Rattus norvegicus: one gene and its partners. The protein of the gene in region 3 purifies or fractionates together with the protein of the main gene of each other region. This does not show direct contact. Links are inferred from orthologs where the notes say so. Each region holds a gene or a part of one and is shown on either strand. Other genes may lie near its edges. The genes, in order: Cbx1, Asf1b and Chaf1a.

Region 1 (3,646 bases), on a different chromosome or scaffold from region 3:
AAGTATCGGGATCAAAGGTGTGCAACTACCACACCTAGCCATGTGTGACTTTTAAAAACTTGGGTAAAGTTTTACAATCAACACTCAATCTTTTGAGGGTGAGGGAGTGGGCGCTGAAGTTCAAACCATGAGCCTTGTACATGCTAGGCAAGACCTCTATCAGTAACCACATCTTTATCATGAAGGTTTGGGTTTGTTTTGTTATTTTACAGGGCTAGGGATCAAACCCTTTCCATCTGAGTCACACCCCCAGCTCAACAGCTAACTTTTTTTTAATTTAAAAATTTGATTTTGTGTATATGAGTGCTCTATCTGCATGTGTACCTACATGTCAGAAGAGGACATTAGATCCTAATATAGATGGTTGTGAGCCACCATGTGGTTGCTGGGATTAACTCAGGACCTCTGGAAGAGTAGGTAGTGTTCTTAACCGTTGAGCCATTTTTCCAGTCCCCAACAACCAAATCTTAACCTTTAAATACGGTAGTAAGTCTGCCACAATTAGAATGCAATCCCCTATGCTCTTTCCCACCTCCCTCCCTCTTTGTCTTTCTGTTTTGTTGAGGCAAAGTCTTAGTCTATATTCCAAGTTGTCTCTACTGCTAAAATGACATGGGTTATGACTTAGGACTTCATGGCACTCTAGGCCAGGCTGCCTTCAACTGGTGATATTTCTGTTTTATCTAAGTGCTGGATTCTGTGTCTAGAATCGCACCTGCCCAAGGATGCAGCCCTACATACTAAGAAGATACGTCTTTAACTTACACTTGTTATATATGCAGGGCAAGTGTGTACTAGCTAGACTACATAATACATCCTATTACTCAGTTTTTCTTTCCTCCTATAAGTTACAGGAAGTAAGCTAAATGAGGGTCAGATTCAATAAATACTGAGGGCACACACAGGAAGAAAATAGGTAATAGTTAATTGTGACCTGTGTCTTCAGGCCTTCACCTGTACTGAAGTTAATTAAACCTTTTCGGGCATCATGTAGGAAAAAACTACCACAGATATCAATTTCAGTGAAATTTCTAGACCAATCAAAGGACAAAGCCTTGAGAATCCTATTTTAACTGGTAATGGCTTAACACTTACTCTTCCTAATCCAGAATGGTGACAGTTCCCTGTGATCTCAGCACAGAGTTTGGGGCAGGAAGATTGAGTTCAAAGCAAGCCTAGGCTAGAGTAAAACTGTCTCAAAACAAAAAACAAAGAGGATTACTTGTGCTGACTTGAACGCCTGTTCATCAAACTGTTGGAAAGTACTGTCGCTGAGTGCTCCGTAACTATGCTCTGGTCAGCAATGGACAGCAAATGTAAGGCAGATCAAAGTTCCCCATCCCCTAGTGGACTGCGCTGAACGCTAGTCTTAGAAACCTCCCACCATCCGCCAGCAGGTTAGAGCACAGCAAGCACAAGCATGCTCAGCAGACGACACTCAACAGCACTAACAGACGGGGTGAGTGTCTACACAGTAGAAAGAAACAGCCTCACATTATGCTCAGGAACAGTAAACAGTCACGAGGCCTTGCTGACCCCTGCTGGCTCCGTCTGTAAATTTGGAATCTTCAAAATAAATTCTATAAATTCTTTTCTAACCCTCAAACATGAACAGAATATTGTTTATGGGGCCAGCCTGATCTTTACTAAGGAGGTGGAGAAGGAGGAGGGTGATTCAACCACATTTCAGAAATTTTTTCTTTACGTAACAGAACTGAAATGTGATTCCTCTCCATAGCCTCTCCCACCTAACCAAAAAAAAAAAAAAAAAACCAAAACAAAAAAAAAAAAAAAAGGTGAAAATCTGAAAATCCTAAGGGCCCCTACCTGTAACTCATGAGTCCAGGTTGGTAGTCAGGCCGAGTGTCACTATCGAAGGACTATGTCATCTTAAAGATTTCACACCTGGGCGACTGGAATTTCGAAGGTCCAGCTCTTTTCCTCTGGCATAGAACAGATAGGGAGAAGGAAAAAAACAACCACACAGAGCCACTGGGAGACTCACCATTTCATCAGGAACATGAGCTCTCCACTGGAGTCAGTAGCTCCAATAATCCGCTCTGGCTCCAGACCCCGGGCAAAGCCTCGTGGCTTTTCTGACTGTAAAAACCAGATGGGTAGAGCCTTTATTGACATAGAACTATATCCTGAATGGAGTTATTTATCTTTAAGAAATGTAAGCCAACATTTACTCAGGGACTCCTCTGTTACCCACACCATGTGTCAGAAGTCTGAAGCACATGAGGTCCTCCCAGCATGAACAAGATATACACCCCAAGCTTCACAAAGGTAAGTTACTTAAGACACTGAGACAAAACAGTTTTTCTGTGTGTAGTCCTGGCTGTCCTGGAACTCACACTGTAGACCAGGATAGACTACCTTAAATATTTTATGATCAAAACACCAAAAAAACTATCTATTGACAGGAAATGTATCCAGTTACACTCTAAGTCTCCAATAACTGTTACATGTTATTATTTCTGCACCATGGATAAAAAGTAAGATCACCTCCTAAGAGGAAGTCTCAAATCCTTTTTCACTTTGTTATGTTTTGTTGACATAAGGTCTCTACAACCCAGGCCTCTTCCCCGATCTTGTCTCCCTCTTCTTCCTGAATGCCACGATTACAGGTATATACAGGGTTAACCCTCAAATCCCTTTAAAACATTAGCTTATTTCTGAAGAGACAGAGAGGACATGACTTCTGAGATTCAAAGGAACAAAGTCCTGCATGGTAGCTCACACCAGTGATCTCAACAGTCAGACCTGTTGTCTCAAAACTTAGAAGGCTAAGAAAGGAGGATTGCCACTAGTTTAAGGCAGGCCTGGGATATACACTGAATTATAGGCCAGCCTAGGCGGCTATGCAAGACCTTTTCATAAATAAGTGAATGAATGAATGAAAATAAAATTAAAAAGGAAAAGGAAGTGAAGGTGAGGACAGGAGAGGAGGTAGAACCAAACTAGGATTCCCGGCCTCTGGCTGGTGACGAGCCCTGGTTCTAGCCTTACCTCTTCTTTCTTCTTCTTTGGTTTGCTTTCCTCTCCTTTATCTTCAGAATCAGAATCAGCTTTGCGCTTGCCTCCGTCTGATTTATCCGTCTCATGAGCTGTCTTCTGGGACTGTAGAAACTCAGCAATAAGGTCAGGGCAATCCAGATTCTCTTCTGGCTCCCAAGTGTTGTCCTCACTGAAACCAGCAAGCACAGCAAGTTAGACTTTCCATTCCGATCAGTATTTTTATACCGGGAAAAGAGCTAGTCTTGGAAGAGTTAATAACCAATAACTAGACTTTCATTCAAGATGAAGACCATTCCTAGTAGGGGAAGGTAGAGACCAAAGGCTTAGAAACTTGCGTTCGTTCTTCAAGAAAAGACTACTTTGCAAAAGTAGACTGTCCTTTATAAAGAGGTCCTCAGAAACCACTGTCTTAGGCCAGTAAGACATTTAAATGGGAGAAGGAGCTATTGGCCAAGGCTGAAGACCTGAGTTCCATCCCAGGACTTACATGGCACCTCCCCACCCCAATAAACAAAACAAGAAATTCAGTCATATAATAGTCTGCGTGTAGGTCCTTCTTCAGTAGACTATGAGATGTGGAGGTCAGGACTGAAACAAGGTAGGCAAACCTACCACAGAACTGCTA
Region 2 (4,198 bases), on a different chromosome or scaffold from region 3:
AAATACACATGAGCAAACAAAAAAGATATACAAGTAAATGTTTTCTTCCTTTTTTAGGACTGAAGGAAAGCAAAGGAATCTGGGAGCTGGCTAGAGGTCTGGGCAGATAGTGTTTCCCATGAAAACCTAAATTCAGGGTGCTGGAGAGAAGTTCAGGGTTAGAATCTAGTATTGATCTTAAAGACCCAGGTTTGATTCCCAACACCCATGTCAGGAGTCTCAAACCAGCTAAAGAGGATCAGATGTCTCTGCCTTCCAGAGGCTCCCATGCATATGCCACCTCCAACATAGACACAAAAATTAAAAGAGAAGGAACGCACATGTGGTGGTGCACACCTTTTTAATCCCAGCACTGGGAAGGCAGAGACAAACAGATCTTTGACTTCAAGGCCAGCCTTGTCTACAGAGTAAGCTCTAGGCCAGCAGAACTATATAGAAACCTTGTTTCAAAAAACAAAAGGAGAAAACATCATTACTTAGGAGGATAAAATGGTGGATCCCTGGCTTACTAGACAGGTCAACTAGCAATATTGGAGCTCCAGATTTTATAGAGACACTTTCTAAAATAGGCAGGACAAGATAGAGACAGCCCATGGGTTAAGAGCATTGGCTGCTCTCCTAGAGGCCAGGTAAGATTCCTAACACCTACATGGAAACTCACAAGCCTGTAACTCCAGTTCTAGGACACCCAACTCCTTCTTTTGAACTATGTGGGTATCAGGCACTCAAGTGGTGGCATAAATACATGTAGGCAAAACATACACACACAAAAATAAATAAAATAAGGTGGAAAGCAATTGAGAAAGACCACTTGAAGTTTCTCTGGCCCACACCCACAGACAAATTAAAACTAAAAGATAAAATTTAAAAACAATCTGGACTCAGAACTCTGAGACAAACTTCAATGATAATGCTTCTACTATCTGGCTGACTTGGAAAAAATCACCCTGCTCCCATTAAAACATGACCAGCAGGCTAACTCTAGCCTTGTTCTGATTCTATAAATAAAGAATAAAAGTATCACTAGGCAATGACCATGCAACCATTTTTAAATGCAAGGAGCACAGACAGGCTGATTGAAACCTGATCTCTCAGCATCTGGGAACTGTGAATCCTTTAATCTATCAGCTCCTTATATCTCCTCTTGGCTTCCAAATAACTCTTATTCCACATCGTTACTCTACCTTTTATTTATTTATTTACACCCTGCCTTGTTCCAGCAAGGGTTTAACCCAGCTTATTCTATAGTGAGTCATAAGTAGATTCGTTTAAACTTAAAAAAGGGTAAGAAACTAGGGAGAGGCCAAGCCGCTGGCCCACTCCAAGCACACACATCCAAGTGAACAGGAGTGGCTGGCCCTGCCTGAATACCACTCAACAGCCACCAAGGGGCACTGGTTGCCACAACCTAGCCTCTCAGAGCTCTACCTCCTCAGCTGCTACATCCTTTTCAGCACTCAAAATGGTCTCCTGTTGTCCTATGTATGAGCGTCCCCAGAGGAGAGATAGGGGCTTCTGACTCCAGTCTTTGTAGGTTTGGTCTCCCCAGCTCCTGGTCTGGGTGAATGTACTCAGGTGAGGGTGCCACAGCCAGGCAGCCCTCTTCCAGTTTCTGAGATTTCTACTGGCTTACCTGAAAGCTGGACTTACCTCAAAGTGACCTCACATTTTACATGTTCACAGATTTATTTGAAAGGTCTTTTGCTCTTGATGGCTCTTGTCCTCTTATCTATGAGATGAGAGCCATGTCCACCTTTATGTCCCACAGATGAATTAAGTCATTCTGTGAAAGATCCACAAAAGCCAGTGTCCTCCCAGCTGATGAAAGTTCCATCCCATCCCTGTTTGGCCAGTCCACCCACTCCCCAGATGAGATCAGCCCATCAGAAGGGATGAGGGATTCCTTGCACTGAGTTAGCTGGAAGCCAGTAGAAATATCAGAAACTGGAAGAGGGCTGCCTGGCTGTGGCACCCTCACCTGAGTACATTCACCCAGACCAGGAGCTGGGGAGACCAAACCTACAAAGACTGGAGTCAGAAGCCCCTATCTCTCCTCTGGGGACGCTCATACATAGGATTTGGGACTAACCTAAAGAAAGAAGCCCTGGTATAGACAACACCATGCCGTTACAGTTGGCAAACAGGAGTTACTGGGGACAAATCTGGAGTTGTCTGGGGTGTTGCTGGGAGTCATGGGATGGAGGAGGTCTTGTCATGGGCAGACAGGGTAACAAAAGAGGAGGGTCTGGTTAGTTTGCAGGAAAAGGTATGCACAAGGAAAATGAGGGGACGGTACTGGAGGTTGGGTTCCCATAGGATAGATAGGTTTCCTATGGGGAAGGCATAAAACCGGGGTCTAGCCATAGGGAAGGCTTGGCTGATGGGTCTCCATGAACCCAATGGAGGCTGACACCTCTACAAGGAAAACGTGCAAGGACAAGCGGTGCAAGACGAGGGGTGACGAGGCCTCCACGAGACAATGCGGACTGTATAGAGTCGTATCCACCGAGGGGTCCGAGTTGGGCCATGGAGGCGTATTACTAATGGGAGATTCAGTTGGCCCAGGGGAGAGGTTCCCAGGGAGACTGGGAGTGGCACAAACGAGGGCAGGAGGGTTCGGGGTCCCCTGCACAGGCCCAGTCTCACCGTCAGACAGGGCCTCACTGCATTCGAAGCTGATCTCAAACCGGAAGGGGCTGTGGAAAGGGCTCGGGTTCTCCAGCACAGCCACATTCAGCACCGACACCTTGGCCATCACCTCGCCTGGGAGCCGCAGGTACTGTGGAGCCTTCTTCCGTGACTTGCTACAGAGAAGAAGGGGGTCGGCAGGACAGAAAGCTCGCACTGATTCCCAACTCTTCTTTCCGAAGAGCTTCTCCCGTAAGCGCGCTCCCTTCAAATAGCCGGCTCCGCCCTCCAGCCAATCGCCGCTAAGGATCTATGACGGCGCGAGCCGTCAGCCAATCCTGGGGCGTCTTCCGGCGCGCGCCTGGACCAACAGACCAATCAGAGACGCTCCCTCTTCACGGTCTACAGGAGGCGGAACGATAATCTCTTAGCTTCGTAAAGGTCTATCGGGAACCAATCCCTAGAGTCTCCGACTCGAATAGCTTGTACGGGTGGGCGGAGTTAGAGCGCGGAACTTCTCTTGTCCAATCCCAAGGGTTACCGCACCAGCATGACCCTCCCCTCGTTCCGCTTTTCCGGTAGACGCACCTCACAGAGAGCAGCGCCACCAACGGCCGAACGGTGGCGCGCGACTCTCACTAAAACGCGCAGAGGGGGACGGTACTTGCACTCCCAGTGATTGACTGTCGATAGAGGGCGGGGCATAGTGGGTTTCTGAGATGTGATTGGCTAATGTGGTGGGCATGAGGAAAGCTGGGCTGGAGCGCTGTGGAAATCGCACGCCCTCACAGTGAAAAGCATTAAGGAGGAAAAAGTGACTTAGGCCTTTAGGCGGCTGTCAGCAGGTGAGCGTTTTCGGGGACTACCCTGAGGGGTTCCTGCCTTTGTAAAAGACCGTTGAGAACCTTTGGATCACCCCGAGACAAAATGGCGCAGCGATGACGATGATGATGATGATGATGATGATGGTGGTGGTGGTGGTGGTGTGTGTGTGTGTGTGTGTGTCTGGGCTTGGTGGCACAGGCCTTTTATCCCAGCACACAGAAAGCAGAGGCAGGTAGGCCTTTGAGGCCCCTTCTAGGACAGCCAGGGCTACACAGAGACACCCTGTCTCCAATCACATTTATTTACTAGTTATTTTATAAGTACACTGCAGGTGTCTTCAGACACACCAGAAGAGGGCATCAGATCCCCCTTACAGATGGTTGTGAGCCACCATGTGGTTGCTGGGAATTGAATTCAGGACCTCTGGAAGAGCAGTCAGTGCTCTTTTTTTTTTTTTTTTTTTTTTTCTTTTTCTTTTTCATTTATTATATATGAGTACACTGTAGCTGTCTTCAGATACACCAGAAGAGGGAATCGGATCTCTTTACAGATGGTTGTGAGCCACCATGTGGTTGCTGGGAATTGAACTCATGACCTCTGGAAGAGCAGTCGGGTGCTCTTAACCACTGAGCCATCTCTCCAGCTGCCCCCCCATCACATTTTTTAAAGATTAAAAACAAAAAGAAGAGGTAGATGCATGCCATTAATCTCAGGACTCAAGAGATAGGCAGACTTTCGTGGGTCA
Region 3 (3,646 bases):
CGGATGATCACCTTGCTCCCGTTCACATTGCCATGTAGCAGAGGAAGCAACTGGGCCAGGACTGTAGGATGAGATGGGCTAGATGAAGCCATGAGAGGGCCCCATCCATCCTCACTGTTGCCAAGGAAGGTTGGCAAGGCACACTTCAAAGAAAGCTACTTGGCATCGGTTGGCTAAGAAGCCACACGCCTACTTCCCAGTGGCCCTGGGCCATGCCCGTGGTCAGCTGTGTGTGCCCTCATGTTCCTCCTAAGCAGTCGCTGCTCACTCTGAGCCACCAGTGTCCCCAGGTTTAGGACAGGGAGGGAGTGGCATTGCACTCTGGTCCAGGTCTCAAAACTGACTATATCATTCTGCTGTGGGTCCTACTAAAATTTCCAAGGGAGCCATGCCTAGGGGCTTATACCTGGAAGTCAAGCTCTTAGGAGCTGGAAGCAAAAAAATCACCATGAGTTCAAGAAAAGTGCAAGCCATCTGGTAACCAAGACCTGTCTTGTGTCACAATGACACTGACTCAAAAAAACCAAAACCAAAACCAAAACCAAACCAACAACAACAAAACCCAAAAAGTCAAGGGTAGGATAGCAAGACTGGGGTATGGCTGAGTGGTAAGCACTTGGCAGGTTCATGTACAACCTGAGTTTGTACCCAGCACCCAAGGCCCTGTCAGTTTTACATGCAGACAAGCTGCATGTGGACGGATACCCACACACAGGCTCTGCATACTTGTGACCTCATCAAGGACACCCTGATAGGAGCTGTTCCCGGACACTCCCGTACCCTACTTACTATGCTGGTCCCTCTTTTCCCTCCTGGAGGCCCTGGGCTCTGGCTCATCAGGGGATGTCACATCCAGCAGGCATGCAGTGAACTGCTGCAGCAGCTTCAAGTCGGAACCTGTGCAGTTGGCTGCCTCTGCCGCCCAAACACATCCCACCTGCACAGGCTGCAGCACGCGAAAGCGCTTGCTCTTGGCTAGGAGCTCATCCCACTCCTTGGCCTTCAGCTTCTGGCGTACTTTGTGGTTCTCTGGATCCGCACACTCCTGGCAGGATATGGAACAGACCCTTGTTTAATGCCCACGCTCCCTGGCACCGTGGCATGAGCTACAGAGGATGTGGCAGTGAAGGACAACTCTGAGAAGTCAGTTCACATCTTTAATCATATGATAAGGCAGGATATTTCAGTGGTTTTGCTTTGTCCAGCCTCACAGCCTCTTGACCTGGTTAATAGGCGACCAAATCCCCAACCCCAGAAACACCCCGATCAATGTGGCTTCCAGCAGGGCCTGAGCTGCCCAACATCATGGTCAGACAGTCTGACCTCAGTCATCCTATGCAGGTTCCCTAAACCTGCAACTAGGAGCTTGGGACCTACGGATACCACTCAAGCTCTCCACAGCCCCTTATGGGAGAGCTCACAGGGGCACAGGACCTTCTGGAACTGTGGTGGTTTGTTAGAACTCTAGGGGAAATCTACAGACCATGCAGCAGAGAAAGCCCATGCCTGCTCACCCAGAGCCTAAATCAAAGCAGCTGATCACCTCAACACCCTATAATCAGTTCAGAATGGAGCCCTCACCTCAGTTACGCCTTCATCTTCAGACAGGTACCCATGGGGCACAAAGAACCCATCGTCCTCATCTTCATCTTCCCCCACATCGTCATCTTCATCCTTGAAGAGAAAGACAAGAGCTTACAGCACACAGATATCAGAGTTGAAGGCCAGTCCAGTCCCACATATAAACACATACATCCATGCAGATGCTAAGGGGGCTACAGAGCCTGCCTAGTGCCCAACATTGGCTCAGGATGTCCCCTAGCTTAGCCTCCGCGTCACAGTAAATCTGTGTGCATCTACACTGGTGTCAGCAGCTGGGGAGCAAGGCAGAAACAGTACATGTGGGCAGAGGAAGCAGGGACTAGTAGGACTCAGTGTGGCTCCAACAGCCATGTTGCCTGGGGGCGCCGGGATGGCAAGCAGTCACTAGGCTAAGCAGGAGCAAAACAACCGGGTCAACAGCCCACCCCATATAAGAGTGTACGATGGCTTCTCCTGCAGTTGCTGTAGTTGCTGCTATTCATACTCAATGGGTTTACTTACCCCCTCACTGTGGGACAAAGACTCCCCAGGCTCCTCCTCTTCCCACTCATCGTCACTGTCTACCTCATAGTCTAAAAGCTTCTGGAGAGAGAATAAGGCATGAGCATCATGGTGAAACAGCACAGAACAGCCCACCCCCATGAGGAACCCCAATCCCAAGGCTCACTTTGTCCTGGACCCAGGGGTTACGGGGGCGGATGACTGCTGTCTTCTTATTCCATGTCCCCCAGTATGCTGGCCGGTGGTTCTCTGAGAACTGCAGGAGCTTCATTCGGCCAAACTTCTTCCTTTCAGGCACACCATCCACCTTGCTGCTCTCCACGATGACCACATCCCTGGTAATCAGACCATACTGTGTTCATGGCTGGCTGCACATGACCTGTCTGTTCAGAACTACTCAGGCCTGTTCCTCCTGCTGCACCCTGGGTGTGCAGGAAGGTGTGCCCCAGAGCCCCAGAACGTGTAAAGAGAGACACTCTGGGAGATGGTGACTCTAGGACTCAGCAGCATAGGGCAGCATGGGGCTCCATGCCAGACTCTTCTATGGTCTGGTGTGCCAGCTCTCACCTGTTCATGATGTCTGTGTCATGGCCACAGACCTGGGTGGGCCCAGATCTCAGGGGCAGTCGGCCCTTTAGGTCACTGAGGAAGGAGCTTGCCACGTTCTGCTGGTGTAGGAGCCGGTCCAGCTGATCGCACAGATCTTGATCCAAGGTAGCCCGGCACCGTGGAGCCAACACCATGTGTTCTTTGATTTCAAAGGGGGCAAACTTACCACAGGAGCCAGCCAGGGTCTGCAATAGGAAGAACTTAATGCACTGCCAGTAGGTGAGAAGCCATGCTAGCTCAGGTGCACTGCTGCCTGGTGGCCAAAGGGAGCTGCGTGGAAGCTGGAAGACTCCAGAGTCTTCCTTCTTCGGAGTGATAGGAATGCATTCCAAACAAAGCCACTTGAGAACCACCTCCACCTTGATAGCTTTAACCTTATTTATGGAGACCCAGCCTTATGTATAGCCTGGGTCAGCCTCAAACTCAGAAAATCTAAGCCTGCTGAGATGACAGGCATGGGCTGACACAGTTGTCTTCCAGATTTTTATTTTTTCCTTTTTTACAGTTTATTTACTTAGGGACTGGAAAGATGGCTCAGTAGTTAAGAAGCAATGCTGCTCTTCCAGAGGACACAGGCAAAACAGTCATACCAATAAAATCAAAAATCTTATAGAAAAGAGGAATACCTCCATTCATTTTGTTATGTGTATGTGTTGTGCCTCTTGGTCCCCACATTTTCAGAAATGTTTGTCAAACTCACTGAGCTCTGGAGTGAATTGAATGGTTAGTGAATTGACTGGGATGGGTGAAACAAGGGACAAGGAACAGCTCAGGCCCCAGGGACAGCATGTGGCAGAGTTCAGAGCCAGTTCCTTTGTTCTGGGTGAAAACACAATAAAGAGTGCCCAACAGGGATTGTGTCCAACCATATGCCCTGTCGGCTGGGCCACTCATCCCACCATTGGCCGTGTATTCTCCAGTTGTTCTCTCTGAC

Evidence for each region.
Region 1: the proteins of Chaf1a (region 3) and Cbx1 purify together in Homo sapiens (affinity purification with mass spectrometry; 4 studies listed by BioGRID and IntAct, with this or other methods). This does not show direct contact. The link is inferred for Rattus norvegicus from reciprocal best matches to the Homo sapiens genes CHAF1A and CBX1.
Region 2: the proteins of Chaf1a (region 3) and Asf1b purify together in Homo sapiens (co-immunoprecipitation; 7 studies listed by BioGRID and IntAct, counting the BioPlex papers as one, with this or other methods). This does not show direct contact. The link is inferred for Rattus norvegicus from reciprocal best matches to the Homo sapiens genes CHAF1A and ASF1B.

The regions. Positions count from the first base shown.
Region 1 is NC_086028.1:82,280,174-82,283,819, reverse strand, and holds part of Cbx1 (chromobox protein homolog 1), read right to left. Parts: intron 3,191-3,646; coding exon 3,013-3,190; intron 2,125-3,012; coding exon of another isoform or gene 2,101-2,124; coding exon 2,006-2,100; intron 1-2,005. UniProt on the Homo sapiens protein: Component of heterochromatin. Recognizes and binds histone H3 tails methylated at 'Lys-9', leading to epigenetic repression. Interaction with lamin B receptor (LBR) can contribute to the association of the heterochromatin with the inner nuclear membrane.
Region 2 is NC_086037.1:41,097,434-41,101,631, forward strand, and holds the start of Asf1b (histone chaperone ASF1B), read right to left. Parts: upstream 2,920-4,198; 5' UTR 2,756-2,919; coding exon 2,647-2,755; intron 1,784-2,646; exon of another isoform or gene 1,651-1,783; intron 1-1,650. UniProt on the Homo sapiens protein: Histone chaperone that facilitates histone deposition and histone exchange and removal during nucleosome assembly and disassembly. Cooperates with chromatin assembly factor 1 (CAF-1) to promote replication-dependent chromatin assembly.
Region 3 is NC_086027.1:981,684-985,329, reverse strand, and holds part of Chaf1a (chromatin assembly factor 1 subunit A), read right to left. Parts: intron 2,898-3,646; coding exon 2,671-2,897; intron 2,439-2,670; coding exon 2,270-2,438; intron 2,185-2,269; coding exon 2,104-2,184; intron 1,675-2,103; coding exon 1,582-1,674; intron 1,046-1,581; coding exon 790-1,045; intron 62-789; coding exon 1-61. UniProt on the Homo sapiens protein: Acts as a component of the histone chaperone complex chromatin assembly factor 1 (CAF-1), which assembles histone octamers onto DNA during replication and repair.